Linked DNA regions of Stegostoma tigrinum. The protein of the gene in region 2 interacts with the protein of the main gene of each other region in a biochemical or structural test. Links are inferred from orthologs where the notes say so. Each region holds a gene or a part of one and is shown on either strand. Other genes may lie near its edges.

Evidence for each region.
Region 1: the proteins of prkar2aa (region 2) and akap11 form a complex in vitro, tested with the Homo sapiens proteins (2 studies listed by BioGRID, with this or other methods). The link is inferred for Stegostoma tigrinum from reciprocal best matches to the Homo sapiens genes PRKAR2A and AKAP11.

The regions. Positions count from the first base shown.
Region 1 is NC_081365.1:80,434,489-80,442,255, reverse strand, and holds the start of akap11 (A-kinase anchor protein 11), read right to left. Parts: upstream 3,011-7,767; 5' UTR 2,891-3,010; intron 1-2,890. UniProt on the Homo sapiens protein: Binds to type II regulatory subunits of protein kinase A and anchors/targets them.
Region 2 is NC_081364.1:9,588,906-9,596,171, forward strand, and holds the start of prkar2aa (protein kinase, cAMP-dependent, regulatory, type II, alpha A), read right to left. Parts: upstream 3,008-7,266; 5' UTR 2,937-3,007; coding exon 2,808-2,936; intron 1-2,807. UniProt on the Homo sapiens protein: Regulatory subunit of the cAMP-dependent protein kinases involved in cAMP signaling in cells. Type II regulatory chains mediate membrane association by binding to anchoring proteins, including the MAP2 kinase.

The DNA of each region.
Region 1 (7,767 bases), on a different chromosome or scaffold from region 2:
GCTCCACACCATTGCCAAACATTAACAGACCGTGTAGAATTGGTTGGCTTGTACTCGTAATGCCCACATTTCCCATCTCAAAGACATTCTCAATTGCACTGGACAAACTCTGGTTAACAGCTGTTGTTGAAACTATTAGATACTGACAGGCCTGCTGAAGACATCAATTTTCAATTCCCATTTCCATCAGGCTGCTTCTATTCTGACCAGATCCTTTTCTTGGCATGTTACATCACTGACCTAAGACTGAAGCCACATCCTGAAAATCTGACTCCCCCAAGAAAAGCAATATCTGCCTAGACCAGTCATCCTGGATATCTTGGAGTTCCCAGTAGCCTGCTCACTGTCTCCTGCTCCGGCTGACATGAAATACCTCTCGTGATCGTCCCAGTGCCGATCAACCTTCAATAGACTAGCAGGCAACCAACCAACTAGGGTACATTACATTCTCTACTGTACATTAGTGTGTGATATGATAATGCATTATGTACTTAAAAATCACTTGCATCAAAGCCACAGAATTGTATTTCTACTGCCAATGTTTTTTTAATTTTAAGTTGCAGCTACAGCAGTTATACACAAGCATTCTCTTAACTGACTCAAAACATCAATCTACACTTGATCTGTGGCCTCATTAAATCAGTGCCATTGGAAACAATGGGGATATGTGGGGAAAAACAAGCAACAATGTGTGCTTGGTTCCCAACAAATGCCCTAACAGTGGCACTGGCTGCAAATCTCAGAAGTGGCAGAGCCAAGAGCAATTTACAAGCGTTTCTTATAGGCTCTTCGAGGCTCAGCACCTTGTGAGCATGGAGTCTCAAGCATTCGTGTTTCTGGACTGTCAGCGCTGCAATTGCCTGTTACTTGATAAAATTCATTTGGAAGTGTCAAGCAAAACATCTTTTACCAACTTGCATTGTAGTTCCTTAGTTACCTCAAATCTGTCCGAGTGATTATCGTTTCTTTAACCCTACCCACTATTGATGCTAAACTAGCTGACTAGAGCCATCAGGACTGCCCTTAAACTCTCCTGAATAAAAAAGGTGACACTTACTAAACTTCTGGCCTCTCAGCATATCTGAGGCAGGTTAAAGACTTGCACTATTTCCACGTCTACTACCTTTAACAAATCTGAGATACAAACCAAGTGAGTGATGCATTCTTAGCCTAGAAACATTTCCATCCAACTTGCCTATCATTTTTCAGCCTATTTACTGCTACCACTGTATCTGCTCCACTGATATTTTGTCAGCATCAATTCACTTCATAACCATCAATATTAAGTACTTACTGTGTGTGTCCCTGCTCCTCTAAACCATATGTAATGCTCTTTCTCTCTAATAGGTCCCACTTCACCCTTTACTACATGCTTTGAATTTTTTTTAAGCCTGAGGTTTTTACTGTTAAAACATTCCCTCTTTGGCAGTCTCATTTTCCTGAACTCTCCCCTCCAGAGTGTATATGATTCGATTCTCACTTCAAGAATTTACCCAACATGCAACAAACTTCTCATTTCATGATTTTCTCTAGTTACTTCATCATCAAGGGAGGCCTGACATTGATTCCCTTACCATTCACCCATGTTAGATTGCACTAAGCCTGTACCTAAAACATTTCTGCCTTAAAGAGTAAGAATTATTTACTTGTGCCTTAGTACAGCATCTTACAAAGGGTTATTCCTTAATAGTTCCCTTAAAGTTTTTCCTGTAAGTCTCTGGTTCCACTGTACCATGGTCCTCTGCCCGCATTCTAGTTAAACTAGCTGTCTTATAATTTTCTTTTGTTTGTTCCTGCCTCTTCTCCCTCATTAATGTAAGCCTTCTTACAATGAAGATTCTTACCCAAGTGCTCCCCCCAAACAGTACACAAGATTTAGCAATGCCCTCTTCTAGTTGCTCCAGAAACCCAACCAAAAGCTCATTTCAAATTTATCCTCCACACCCTTTACTGTAACATTGAACTAATTGATTTGCAGTGAAATTAAAGCAGCCCATTAGCACTAATCCACAGCTCTTGCACATCCCTATGATTTCCCTGCAGATGTGCATCACTCATCATTTTGAGGCATATAGAATATCATATAGTGTGATCATACCTTGTTGACACTAACCAAATAGACTGTATCCTTGCCTCAAGGGCAGACCCTCTTTCCATGGTTACAATGACTTCTTTAACTCAATGCTCTACTTTTTTTGAACACTCAATTTCCTTGAATATTAAACTCTAAGTCCTCAATTTTTCACCCTCCATTCTGGAGGGAAAAAAATATTATATTGTCACAATGCTGTTTGTGCTTACAATCTATCAACCTTATTTATCACACTTTGCACATTTAAATTCATGTATGTAATTAGCAAAAGAATTGGCAGTTAGGCTAAATATTCATGAAGGCTGGGTTTCCCCCCCCCCCCCCCCCTTCACCGAGAACACCTTCCTTTACAAAGCGAGAAATCAAGAGTTTAACGTTCTGGGTCGGGTGGCCCTCAGAACCGGGGTCACTGGTTCCAGTAACTTGAAGCACAACCAGTCCCTGGGTGGTCCTTGCCCCAGAGCAGCTCCCAAGGTCTCATCATGTCCCTTCATCCTGCAACAGGCCTTCACCCACAATAGGAGTCTCAATGCCTTCCTATTCCTTCTCTCAGCACTGGAATAAAAGTCAACAAAATAAGGCACCCAGGCACGTGTCAGCCCCCAAACACGCAACCTACCTGCCGGAATGTAACCCCGGTTCGGGTCTGACCCCCGCGCCCAGAGGGATCTGATGGGGGGGGGGAAGGCAGTTCCCCTTTCCGCCCGTGTGGCCCGCGGCCCACTCGACCCTCACCATAAACCCCCACCATTACCCAGTTACCGCCTACACCGCCCCCACGTTACCCCGGCCTCTCACCCGCTCTGGTCCCGGCCCCACCGCCACAATCCAGCACCGAGTCAGGACGCGCACTAGGCCACAGGAATTGAGGGCAGAACCAAGCGCCAAATCAATCAAACAGGGAGACACGGAGAAGGAGAGTGGGATAGAGAACAGGAAGGTTAAAGGTCACAGCTCCGTCCATTGACCAATCGGAATGAAGCTATATGAACGAGCTCTTGGAGTGTTGGCCAGTCAGAATAAAGGGTTGTCAACCAATCAGTGCGAGAGGCCATTGACCAATCAGAGTCAGGCAGCGCTGACCAATCAGAGCGAACACATATGGTCCAATCAGAGTGAGGCGGTGTCCCTCAGTTTGCCAGAACATGTACATTGAGATCAGTGATAATGGGAACTGCAGATGCTGGAGAATCCAAGATAATAAAATGTGGAGCTGGATGAACACAGCAGGCCCAGCAGCATCTCAGGAGCACAAAAGCTGATGTTTCGGGCCTAGACCCTTCATCAGAGAGGGGGATGGGGAGAGGGAACTGGAATAAATAGGGAGAGAGGGGGAGGTGGTCTGAAGATGGAGAGTAAAGAAGATAGGTGGGGAGGTAGAGAGGGGATAGGTCAGTCCAGGGAAGATGGACAGGTCAAGGAGGCGGAATGAGGTTAGTAGGTAGGAAATGGAGGTGCGGCTTGGGGTGGGAGGAAGGGATGGGCGAGAGGAAGAACAGGTTAGGGAGGCCGAGACAGGTTGGACTGGTTTTGGGATGCAGTGGGTGGAGGGAATGAGCTGGGCTTGTTTTGGGATGCAGTGGGGGGAGGGGACAGGCTGGGCTGGTTTTGGGATGCAGTGGGGGGAGGGGAGATTTTGAAGCTGGTGAAGTCCACATTGATACCATTGGGCTGCAGGGTTCCCAAGTGGAATATGAGTTGCTGTTCTTGCAACCTTCGGGTGGCATTATTGTGGTACTGCAGGAGGCCCATGATGGACATGTCATCTGAGGAATGGAAGGGAGAGTTATAAAATTGTTCGCGACTGGGAGGTGCTGTTTTTTATTGCGAACCAAGCGGAGGTGTTCTGCAAAGCAGTCCCCAAGCCTCCGCTTGGTTTCCCCAATGTAGAGGAAGCCACACCGGGTACAATGGATGCAGTATACTACACTGGCAGATGTGCAGGTGAACCTCTGCTTAATATGGAAAATCATTTTGCGGCCTGGGATAGGGGTGAGGGAGGAGGTGTGGGGCAAGTGTAGCACTTTCTGTGGTTACAGGGGAAGGTGCCGGGTGTGGTGGGGTTGATGAGGAGTGTGGAGCGGACAAGGGAGTCGCGGAGAGAGTGGTCTCTCCGAAAGGCAGACAAGGGTGGGGATGGAAAAATAGCTTGGATGGTGGGGATGGATTGTAGATGGCGAAAGTGTCGGAGGAGGATGTGTTGTATCCGGAGGTTGGTGGGGTGATATGTGAGAACGAGGGGGATCCTCTGGAGGCGGTTGTGGTGGGGGCAGGGTGTGAGGGATGTGTTGCGGGAAATGTGGGAGACGCGGTCAAGGGCGTTCTCGACCACTGCGGGGGGAAAGTTGCAGTCCTTGAAGAACGTGGACCTCTGGGATGTGCGGGAGTGGAATGCCTCATCCTGGGAGGAGATGAGGCGGAGGAATTGGGAATAGGGAATGGAATTTTTGCAGGAGGGTGGGTGGGAGGAGGTGTGTTCTAGGTAGCCGTGGGAGTCGGTGGGCTTGAATTGGACATCAGTTTCTAGCTGGTTGCCTGAGATGGAGACTGAGAGGTCCAGGAAGGTGAGGGATGTGTTGGAGATGGCCCAGGTGAACTTGAGGTTGGGGTGGAAGGTGTTGGTGAAGTGGATGAACTGTTCGAGCTCCTCTGGGGAGCAAGAGGTGGCACCGATACAGTCATCAATGTAACGGAGGAAGAGGTGGGGTTTGGGGCCTGTGTAGGTGCAGAGGAGGGACTGTTCCACGTAACCTACAAAGAGGCAGGCATAGCTTGGGCCCATGCGGGTGCCCATGGCCACCCCCTTTGTCTGTAGGAAGTGGGAGGAATCAAAAGAGAAGTTGTTGAGGGTGAGGACGAGTTCGGCTAGACGGCTGAGGGTGTCGGTGGAGGGGGATTGGTCGGGCCTGCAGGACAGGAAGAAGCGGCGGGCCTTAAGGCCATCTGCATGAGGAATGCAGGTGTATCGGGACTGGAGGTCCATGATGAAAATGAAGTGTTGGGGGCCAGGGAATTGGAAGTTCTGGAGGAGCTGGAGGGCGTGGGTGGTGTCACGGACATAGGTGGGGAGTTCCTGGATCAAGGGGGAGAAAATGGAGTCCAGATAGGTGGAGATGAGTTAGGTCAGCCAGGGCGGGCGGGTTTTTGGATTTTGGGAAGGAGATAGAAACAGGCCGTGCGGGGTTGGGGAACAATAAGGTTGGAGTCTGTGGGTGGGAGGTGCCCTGAGGTGATGAGGCCATGGATGGTATTGGAGATGGTGGTTTGGTGCTCAGGGGTGGGGTCATGATCAAGGGGCAGTTGGAAGAGGTGTCGGAGAGTTGGCGTTTGGCCTCGGCAATGTAGAGGTCAGTGCGCCATACTACAACTGCGCCTCCCTTGTCTGCAGGTTTGATGGTGACGTTGGGGTTGGAGCGGAGGGAACGGAGGGCTGCCCGTTCTGCGGGGGAGAGGTTGGACTGGGTGAGAGTGGTGGAGAGGTTGAGGCGGTTGATGTCTCAACATCAGTTGGCGATGAAGAGGTCGAGGGAGGGTAGGAGGCCTGGGGTTGGTGTCCAGGAAGAGGACTTGTGTTGGAGGCGGGTGAAGGGGTCAGTGGAGGGAGGGTTAGGTTCCCGGTTAAAGAAGTAAGCGTGGAGGAGAAGGCGGTGGAAAAAATACTCGATGTCCAAACGTGACTGGTATTCGTTGATGTGTGGGTGGAGGGGGACAAAGGTGAGCCCCTTGCTTGGGACTGACCATTCATCCTCAGTCAGTGGGAGGTCTGCGGGGATGGTGAAGATTCGGCAGGGCTCAGTGTGGCTGTCCTTTGAAAGGTCGGTGTGGTCTTGATTTTTTAAAATTTCCTTTATTCTCATGGTGGATTGAATATAAAATGCAGTGAAAAGCATGTACTGTCGCTCTGTGCATGTACTGTTCACATAGTAAAAACACAATAACTTAAAGAGGGTCTAAACTTCCCTTCACCTTTGCTACTGCATGCCGCCACCAGAGTCATGCTGCAGGCTTCCAGCCTACGCCGTGCCACTATGAGTGTCTCTCAGCCCCTCTGACGCCCTAGGACATGGCCCCTCCGTCACTCTGGGGATAGGGCCCCTCCATCAGCCGCCTCAGGCTGCCTTCTCCCATCTGCTACCAGTCACACCTCCAGCTTGTGCTCTCTGCCCACATGATGCTCCATGGCTGCTTCCCCACAAACTGCTATGGAGTTCTTCTCCATGCAGCTCCTGTGCTCGCTGCTGACAGTGTTCTGGGGCATGAGGGCTCACTGCTCTGGACTTGCTGCCAGCTTCAGTGCTGAGGGTAGAGGAGAAAAAAAGAAAGGAAAAAGAACAGGTGGAGCACAGGAGTTCTGACAGCTCTGATGAGCTGAATGGCCTGCATCCACACTGTAGGGATTCTGTTCTCTTCTACATTTGTGAAAAGATTGATATTGGTGACCAGGGAGGGTGATAACTGTCTCATGGTCCCTATGCCCATTTCCCTGCAGAATGCCTGTTCACTTCTGCAAAAGACCATCTGTCAGCTTATTGTGAATGACTATATGCTACCAGTGGCCTTGATGGAAACATCTGTCCGGGATAATGACACCTTTTTTATGGCTGAAGCCTCCCTTTCTGGCTATTTCTTTGATCTCTAGGTCCATCAGGCTCGTTGTAGTTTCCTCCCTTGGACTCTCCAACAAATGTCTTCTTATCCTCAATGATTTTAATCTCCATCTCAACTCACCATGTCTAACTCTAACTTCACTGGCTACTTATCATCACTATCTCTTCTCTATCGGAATACCCTCCCCAGATTAGAAATATAGCCAGCTCTACACCTTGTTATCTCATTTTTCAAAGGTTGTAAGGTTGCCAGCATCCACTACCTCCCTGGGCTGTACTTTCTAGATTCCCACCACCCTCTGAGAGAAAAAGCTTTTTTCTCAAACCCTGTCTGAATCTGCTGCGCCTTATGCTAAAAGTGGGCCTTCTTGTGATTGAAGCCTCAACCAAGGGGAATAGCTGCTCTCTACTCTCCCTGCCCATACCCCTCATAATCTTATGCACATCAATCATCTCCCTCTCAGCCTCCTCTATTTTTGAGAAAACAATCCTGTAACTGACAACCATCTTCTTCACTATTGAGCATCCAGCAGCCTTTGTGTTGTCTGAAAACTTGCTTAACATCCCCCGTTTATGTATATAACAAACAATATGCGTCTCAGACTGATCCTTGTGGCGTATTGCTGGAAGTTGGCATCCAGTCACTTGGACAGCTTTCTACTTCTACTCTTTGTATCCTATTACGAAGCCGGTTTCTGATCCATCTCATCATCTTCATAATCAGTTTCCCCTGTGGGACCTTGTCAAATGCTTTGCTAAAGTCTGTATAAACTACATCAACTGAGCTTCCTTCATCCACACACTTGATCACATTTTTGAAAAATTCTGTGACCTCCTTCTGACAAAGCCATGCTGACTGTTTGTAATTTACCTATGCTTTTCCCAAGTGGATGTTAATTCTCTCCTTAAAAAATTTCTCCAATAGTTTCCCTATCATGACATGATACTCACCAGTCTGTAATTTCCCTGGTTCATCTCAACCAACTTTCTTGAAAAGTGGAACCACATTAACTCTTCTCCAGTTCTCTGGCACTCCCCCTGTGGCCACAGAGGCATTAAAAATTTGTG
Region 2 (7,266 bases):
CATTTTGTGCAAGAAAAATTAAATAAAAAATTATATAATGGAAGAACATCATACAACACATTCAATACAGCACAGAAACAGGCTCTTTGACTCACCAAGCCTGTTACAATTGCTAATCCTTATTTTGATCCGCTACTTTTTGCCCATCCCTAGTTTATATCCCTGTTTGACTCCCATTCATACGTTCATCACATATGCCTTAAACCATTGCTAACGTGCCTGCTTCCACTGGCACAGAGTTACAGACACCTACCACCCTGTATGAAAAATTTTCCCTACACTTCTCCCCTAAAGTTCCCCCCCTCACCCTGAATCTATGCCCTCCTGTCATTGGCCTGTCTACCCTTGGAAAAAGCTTCTGAGTATCCACCCTACTCACACCTCTGATAATTTTGCAGCCCTCTATCTGGTCACCCTCAGCCTCTGTCATTCCAGTGAAAACAATCTGAGTTTATCGAACCCAAATAAAACCCTCCAGACAAGGCAACATCCTGGTAAACTTCCCTGCACCCTCTCAAAACTGCACGCAATACCTGAAAATGACCTAACTACAGTTTTGTACAGCTGTAACACAACTTGCCAACTTTTACATTCAATGAAGGCAAGGTTTTTGACTACCTTATCCATCTGTTGCCATGTTCAGGGATCTGTGGACCTGTTCATACAAATGCAAACACAATTATCTGCAATGATTTTGGTGGTGCATTAGTTATTTAAGTTCACACAGGTTGCTCTGCCTTGGGGCATGATCACCTGTTGCAAGGCAAGTGGGTGCAGCCCAGGGCCAGGCATTGGAGCTAATCCTGTGCTCCATTTGTCACCTTTAGTCCTGATGGTGCCAATGTGCTGTATGGTCAAAAGTTATTTGTCCTCTCCAACAGTCATTTTTATAGGATTGTTTTGTTTAATTCTAGCTGAACACTTGCGTGCAAAGTGATTCAGTATTTTGCACTGCTTTTCCCATACTGGACATGCTTCACAAACCCCACCTCTTCCTCCGTTACATTGATGACTGTATCGGCGCTGCCTCTTGCTCCCCAGAGGAGCTCGAACAGTTCATCCACTTCACCAACACCTTCCACCCCAACCTTCAGTTCACCTGGGCCATCTCCAGCACATCCCTCACCTTCCTGGACCTCTCAGTCTCCATCTCAGGCAACCAGCTTGTTACTGATGTCCATTTCAAGCCCACCGACTCCCACAGCTACCTAGAATACACCTCCTCCCACCCACCCTCCTGCAAAAATTCCATCCCCTATTCCCAATTCCTCCGCCTCATCTGCTCCCACGATGAGGCATTCCACTCCCGCACATCCCAGATGTCCAAGTTCTTCAAGAACCGCAACTTTCCCCCCAGTGGTCGAGAACGCCCTTGACCACGTCTCCCGCATTTCCCACAACACATCCCTCACACCCCGCCCCCACCACAACTGCCCAAAGAGGATCCCTCTCGTTCTCACACACCACCCTACCAACCTCCGGATACAACGCATCATCCTCCGACACTTCCACCATCTACAATCCAACCCCACCACCCAAGACATTTTTCCATCCCCACCCTTGTCTGCTTTCCGGAGAGACCACTCTCTCCATGACTCCCTTGTTCGCTCCACATTGCCCTCCAACCCCACCACACCCGGCACCTTCCCCTGCAATCGCAGGAAATGCTACACTTGCCCCCACGCCTCCTCCCTCACCCCTATCCCAGGCCACAAGATGACATTCCACATTAAGCACAGGTTCACCTGCACATCTGCCAATGTGGTATACTGCATCCACTGTACCCGGTGTGGCTTCCTCTACATTGGGGAAACCAAGTGGAGGCTTGGGGACCGCTTTGCAGAACACCTCCGCTCGATTCGCAATAAACAACTGCACCTCCCAGTCGCAAACCATTTCCACTCCCCCTCCCATTCTTTAGATGACATGTCCATCATGGGTCTCCTGCAGTGCTACGATGATGCCACCCGAAGGTTGCAGGAACAGCAACTCATATTCCGCTTGGGAACCCTGCAGCCCAATGGTACCAATGTGGACTTCACCAGCTTCAAAATCTCTCCTTCCCCCACCGCATCCCAAAACCAGCCCAGTTCGTCCCTTCCCCCCACTGCACCACACAACCAGCCCAGCTCTTCCCCTCCATCCACTGCATCCCAAAACCAGTCCAACCTGTCTCTGCCTCCCTAACCGGTTCTTCCTCTCACCCATCCCTTCCTCCCACCCCAAGCCGCACCTCCATCTCCTACCTACTAACCTCATTCCACCTCCTTGACCTGTCCGTCTTCCCTGGGCTGACCTCCCCCTCCCTACCTCCCCACCTATACTCTCCTCTCCACCTACCTTCTTTTCTCTCCATCTTTGGTCCGCCTCCCCCTCTCTCCCCATTTATTCCAGAACCCTCACCCCATCCCCCTCTCTGAAGAAGGGTCCAGGCCCGAAACATCAGCTTTTGTGCTCCTGAGATGCTGCTGGGCCTGCTGTGTTCATCCAGCCTCACATTTTATTATCTTGGAATTCTCCAGCATCTGCAGTTCCCATTAACACTGGACATGCTTCCTCCTCTTTTGTGCCATGTCTTCTTCACAATTTACAGCCTGACCTCTGGCTTTTTGCTTTCTGCTGACTCTTCTGCAGGTATTTTGGTTTTGTTCCACTATGTTGTTTTTGATCAGGCTGAAATGTGTCTGTAATAATCTAAATCTTAATAATCTAAAGCTTCACCTGTTCTTCCATTGTGTACCCTAGCGCACAGTTGACAATCTCAGGGCTTCTGCACGTTGATAGCTTGGGCCAACCATTCCCCTCACCTTGATCGTGTCCAGCGGGTGCCCAGCAAACACCAGGCACACCCCGCCAAAACCTCCGGCGAAGAAATTCTTGACAGGATTGATTGCCTGCGGCTGCCGCGGGCCGGGCTTCTTCTCTTCCGCCGACATGTTTCCCAAGAGCCCGATCACCGAGCATCTACCTTTGCCCTCGATCGGACTGCCCCGGACTCCTTTCCCGGTTGCACCAACCGCTCAACCACGACAGCAGTGCACCCACCAAATACGACCCCCGAGTAGCGTAGCCTAACGCTGAGCAAATTACTCATTAGTGATATTTTCCCCTCCATGGAGATTCCGCTGAAATTTCCGATAGACGAAATTGCACCCGACTCTTAGTTTTAAGAAAGCATGACTAATTAGGAAAATCGAAAAAAACTGCGGACGCTGTAAATCAGGGACAAAAACATAAGTTGTTGGTAAAGCTCAGCAGGTCTGGCAGCATTTGTGAAGAAAAAAATTTACAGTTAACGTTTGTGTCCCGTGGCCTTCCTAAGAACATAATTAATTATCAGGGTTTTTTTGGATAATGCCTTGATCTGTTCTAACAATTCCAAAATAAAGTCATTTTTGGAATAATTCAAAATAAATACAGTGGTTTGGATTGGAGATCCACTGTAAAGATTTAAGTGATAGCTGTCTAGCTATATTTTAGTAGGCAAGCGTGTCTCAATTTCTCTTATAAGTATTTGGTGGGATTGACACATCTCATGAGTCTGGCCAACTGAAGTATGATCTCACAGAGATAGGATCCCATTGTGACAGTCTGCTGAGAAGAGAAACTTACTCTCAAGAAAGCTTATCAACGTGCAGAAGCTCTGAGATTGTCAACTGTGCGCTAGGGTACACAATGGAAGAACAGGTGAAGTTTTAGATTATTAAGATTTAGATTATTATAGACACATTTCAGCCTGATCAAAAACAACATAGTGGAACAAAACAAAAATACCTGCAGAAGAGTCAGCAGAAAGCAAAAAGCCAGAGGTCAGGCTGTAAATTGTGAAGAAGACATGACACAAAGGAAGAGAAAGCATGTCCAGTGTGGGAAAAGCAGTGCAAAATACTGAATCACTTTGCACGAAAGTGTTCAGCTAGAATTAGACAAAATAATCCTATAAAAATGACTGCTGGAGAGGGCAAGTCACTTTCAACCATGCAGCAGATTGGCATCATCAGGACTAAAGGTGACAAATGACCTGTGACTGTTAGGATGATGATTGCAGAAGGGCAGCATCAAGTGAACGTGAAGCGTCAGACAGACACTGGTGCCTTATGCAATGTCATGAACTCGCAGATCTGTGTGCTTCAAGTGGTAACCCAAAATAAAGTCCTTAAAGGTATAGTTATGGCTATAATTTGCAACAATATCCATCCCACGATGGCAAATGAACCTCACAGCCCAATGAATGTCTGGAGTTCCAGATACCAAATGTTCAGGAAAAATCAACCTATCTCAGCTTAAGAAAATCCAAAGCTTCAATTTGTAACCCAACACATCTTAGGTGAGATCTGAGATAATGGGGACTGCAGATGCTGGAGAATCCAAGATAACAAAGTGTGAAGCTGGATGAACACAGCAGGCCAAGCAGCATCTCAGGAGCACAAAAACTAACGTTTCAGGCCTAGACCCTTCATTAGAGAGGGGGATGGGGAGAGGGTTCTGAAATAAATAGGGAAAGAGGGGAGGCGGACTGAAGATGGAGAGAAAATATGATAGGTAGAGAGGAGAGTATAGGTGGGGAGGCAGGGAGGGGATGGATCAGTTCAGGGAGGACAGACAAGTCAAGGAGGCGGGATGATGTTAGTAGGCAGGAAATGGAGGTGCGGCTTGGGGTGGGTGGAGTGGATAGGTGAGAGGAAGAACAGGTTAGGGAGGCGGACACAGGCTGGGCTGGTTTTGGGATGCAGTGGGGAAGTGGAGATTGTGAAGTCCACATTGATACCATTGGGCTGCAGGGTTCCCAAGCGGAATATACTGTATCCCAAAACCAGCCCAGCTCGTCCCCTCCCCCACTGCATCCCAAAACCAGCCCAGCCTGTGTCCGCCTCCCCCTCTCTCCCTATTTATTTCAGAACCCTCTCCTCATCCCCCTCTCTGATGAAGGGTCGAGGCCCAAAACGTCAGCCTTTGTGCTCCTGAGATGCTGCTTGGCATGCTGTGTTCATCCAGCTTCACACTTTGTTATTTTAGAGATCTGAAATGTTTTCTATGCCACTGAGCTGCTGACTGTTGAACAGATCCTAGATAATTAAAGATATGATCTTACAGTTCTTGGACATCTCCCAGTAAATATCATTTTGAAGTAGGTGAAAGTGTATGACCAACTCAACATCTTCCAAGGAGAGTTTCAGCTGTCCTCAAAGAAATACAAGACAGATCAACTTGCAGCCCCACTGACTCAGAAGTCCTAAAAGAAAAGGATAGAATGATAAGAAGGCTAAGATATTGTTCTTTGAGGTAATGGCAGTTAATTGTAAGCAAGTCAAAGCAGAAGAGGCAGTAATCACACAACGGAAGAAAATATATGTTAAGAGAATAGAGCAAGAAAACAAAAGAAATTGAAGATGGCTGGATCAAGGGCATATACTGATGGTAAACGACTTTGCTTGGATCTTGGCAAGGTGAAAGTTGTTGCAAAGGTGTAAATACAGTACAATGATTCATCAGATTTTTGATGAACTGTTTAGCAAAATTCTTGCCTGATTTGTCATCAGAGTGCAAACATCTGTGCAAACTCACTGCCCAGGATTTGCATTGGTATTCATTCACAGAAAAGAAGCAGCTTAACTCAAATCAAAAGACTAGTAACAACAGTTCAAAATGCTTTGGAAGTCATAGTTGAAAGAACAATATAGAGGTTTATAAAATAATGAGGGGTAGATAGAGTTAATGCTCATTGTCTTTTCCATAGTGGAGGGTTTTCAAGACTTGGCACCACATTTTTAAGGTGAGAGGCGAGAGATTTAAAAAAAGACGAGGGTTAAGTTTTTTACGCAGAGGGTTGTTTGCATGTGGAATAAATCTCCTGATGAAGTGTAGGTACAATTACAATGTTTAAAAGATATTTGGAAAAATATATGAATAGATATGGGCCAGGAGCAGGCAGGTGAGACGAGTTCAGTTTGGGATTATATTCGGCATGGATTGGTCTGTGACATGTAACTGTTTGAAAAGAACATCACCCTAGGAATGAACAGATACCAGACAAACTGGCAGTTACTCAACTAAATCTTATCAAAAGACCTGAAAACCTCAGAGAAAACAAGTCAATGCATGCACATACAGACTGATGAAAGTGGGATAGACTAGAATTTTCAGTTTTGTTCATGAGTGATCATTTTGGGTGACCCATAGCTGCTGAAAATAGTGCGTACAATTTTCTTTCTCTGTCTAAAAGGGGATGTTTGCATCTGCGCATTGTACCTACTAGCTGATCTTCCTTTGGTCATGTGACCTCAACATCTACTGTAATTTGCTTTCATTCGGGTGTGGCAGCCATTAAACACATAATTTGAAACAAGGGTTATGCAGATCAGGCCAGAGAAGAGGAGTTCCGGCCAGAATCAGATCAGCAATTATCTTATTAAATAGTGGCAGAGCAGGCTTAGGGAGCTGAATGGACTTCCTGCTCTGATTTCCTACAAGCTTGTCTTACTATTGCAGCATGAAGAGAAATGACGTTGGTCCCAGCCATTCCTAAATCTGAGCTTTTTTAAATTTAGCCCATTATGAAACAACTTCGTCATCATTTATTTTTAATTTGGGATAACAGTAAATAGAATCATGGAATGTCATTTTATTGTTTGGATTTTATTGTAGATCAAATACTTAATTCCTGACTTTATCTTAGGGCCTCTGCGTAAATCAAATTCAAGTTTTCATGTTTGACATACTTAAGAATTTTGGCCTGTGAGTTGTAGGTGAATTCAGTGTGTCCAAGATTCAGGTATGAAACATACAAGCTAACCACGTCGAGTTACAATTATGCAATGCCTTAAATGTAATCAAATGTCCCAAGGCAAATCACAGGCAAGTTAAACAACCAAATTTAATGCCAAGCCATGTAAAGCAACATTGTGGCAGAAGGCCAATAATTTCATCGAAGAAGGTTCAAGGAATGTCGCAAAGAAATTTATGAAATTTTTTTTAAAAATTCACAGAAGGTGGCATCTCTGACTAGGTCTGTTTTTATTGCTCTTCCCTCATTATCCAGTGTCAACTCTATTGTTGTGGGTCTGGAATCACATGTAGGCCAAACCGGGAAAGGATAGCAGGTTTTCTTCCCTAAAGGACGTATAGTAATCTTAGTATCAGAGATAATGGGAACTGCAGATGCTGGAGAATTCCAAGATAATAGAATGTGAGGCTGGATGAACACAGCAGGCCAAGCAGCATCTCAGGAGCACAAAAGCTGACGTTTCGGGCCTAGACCGGTCGTGA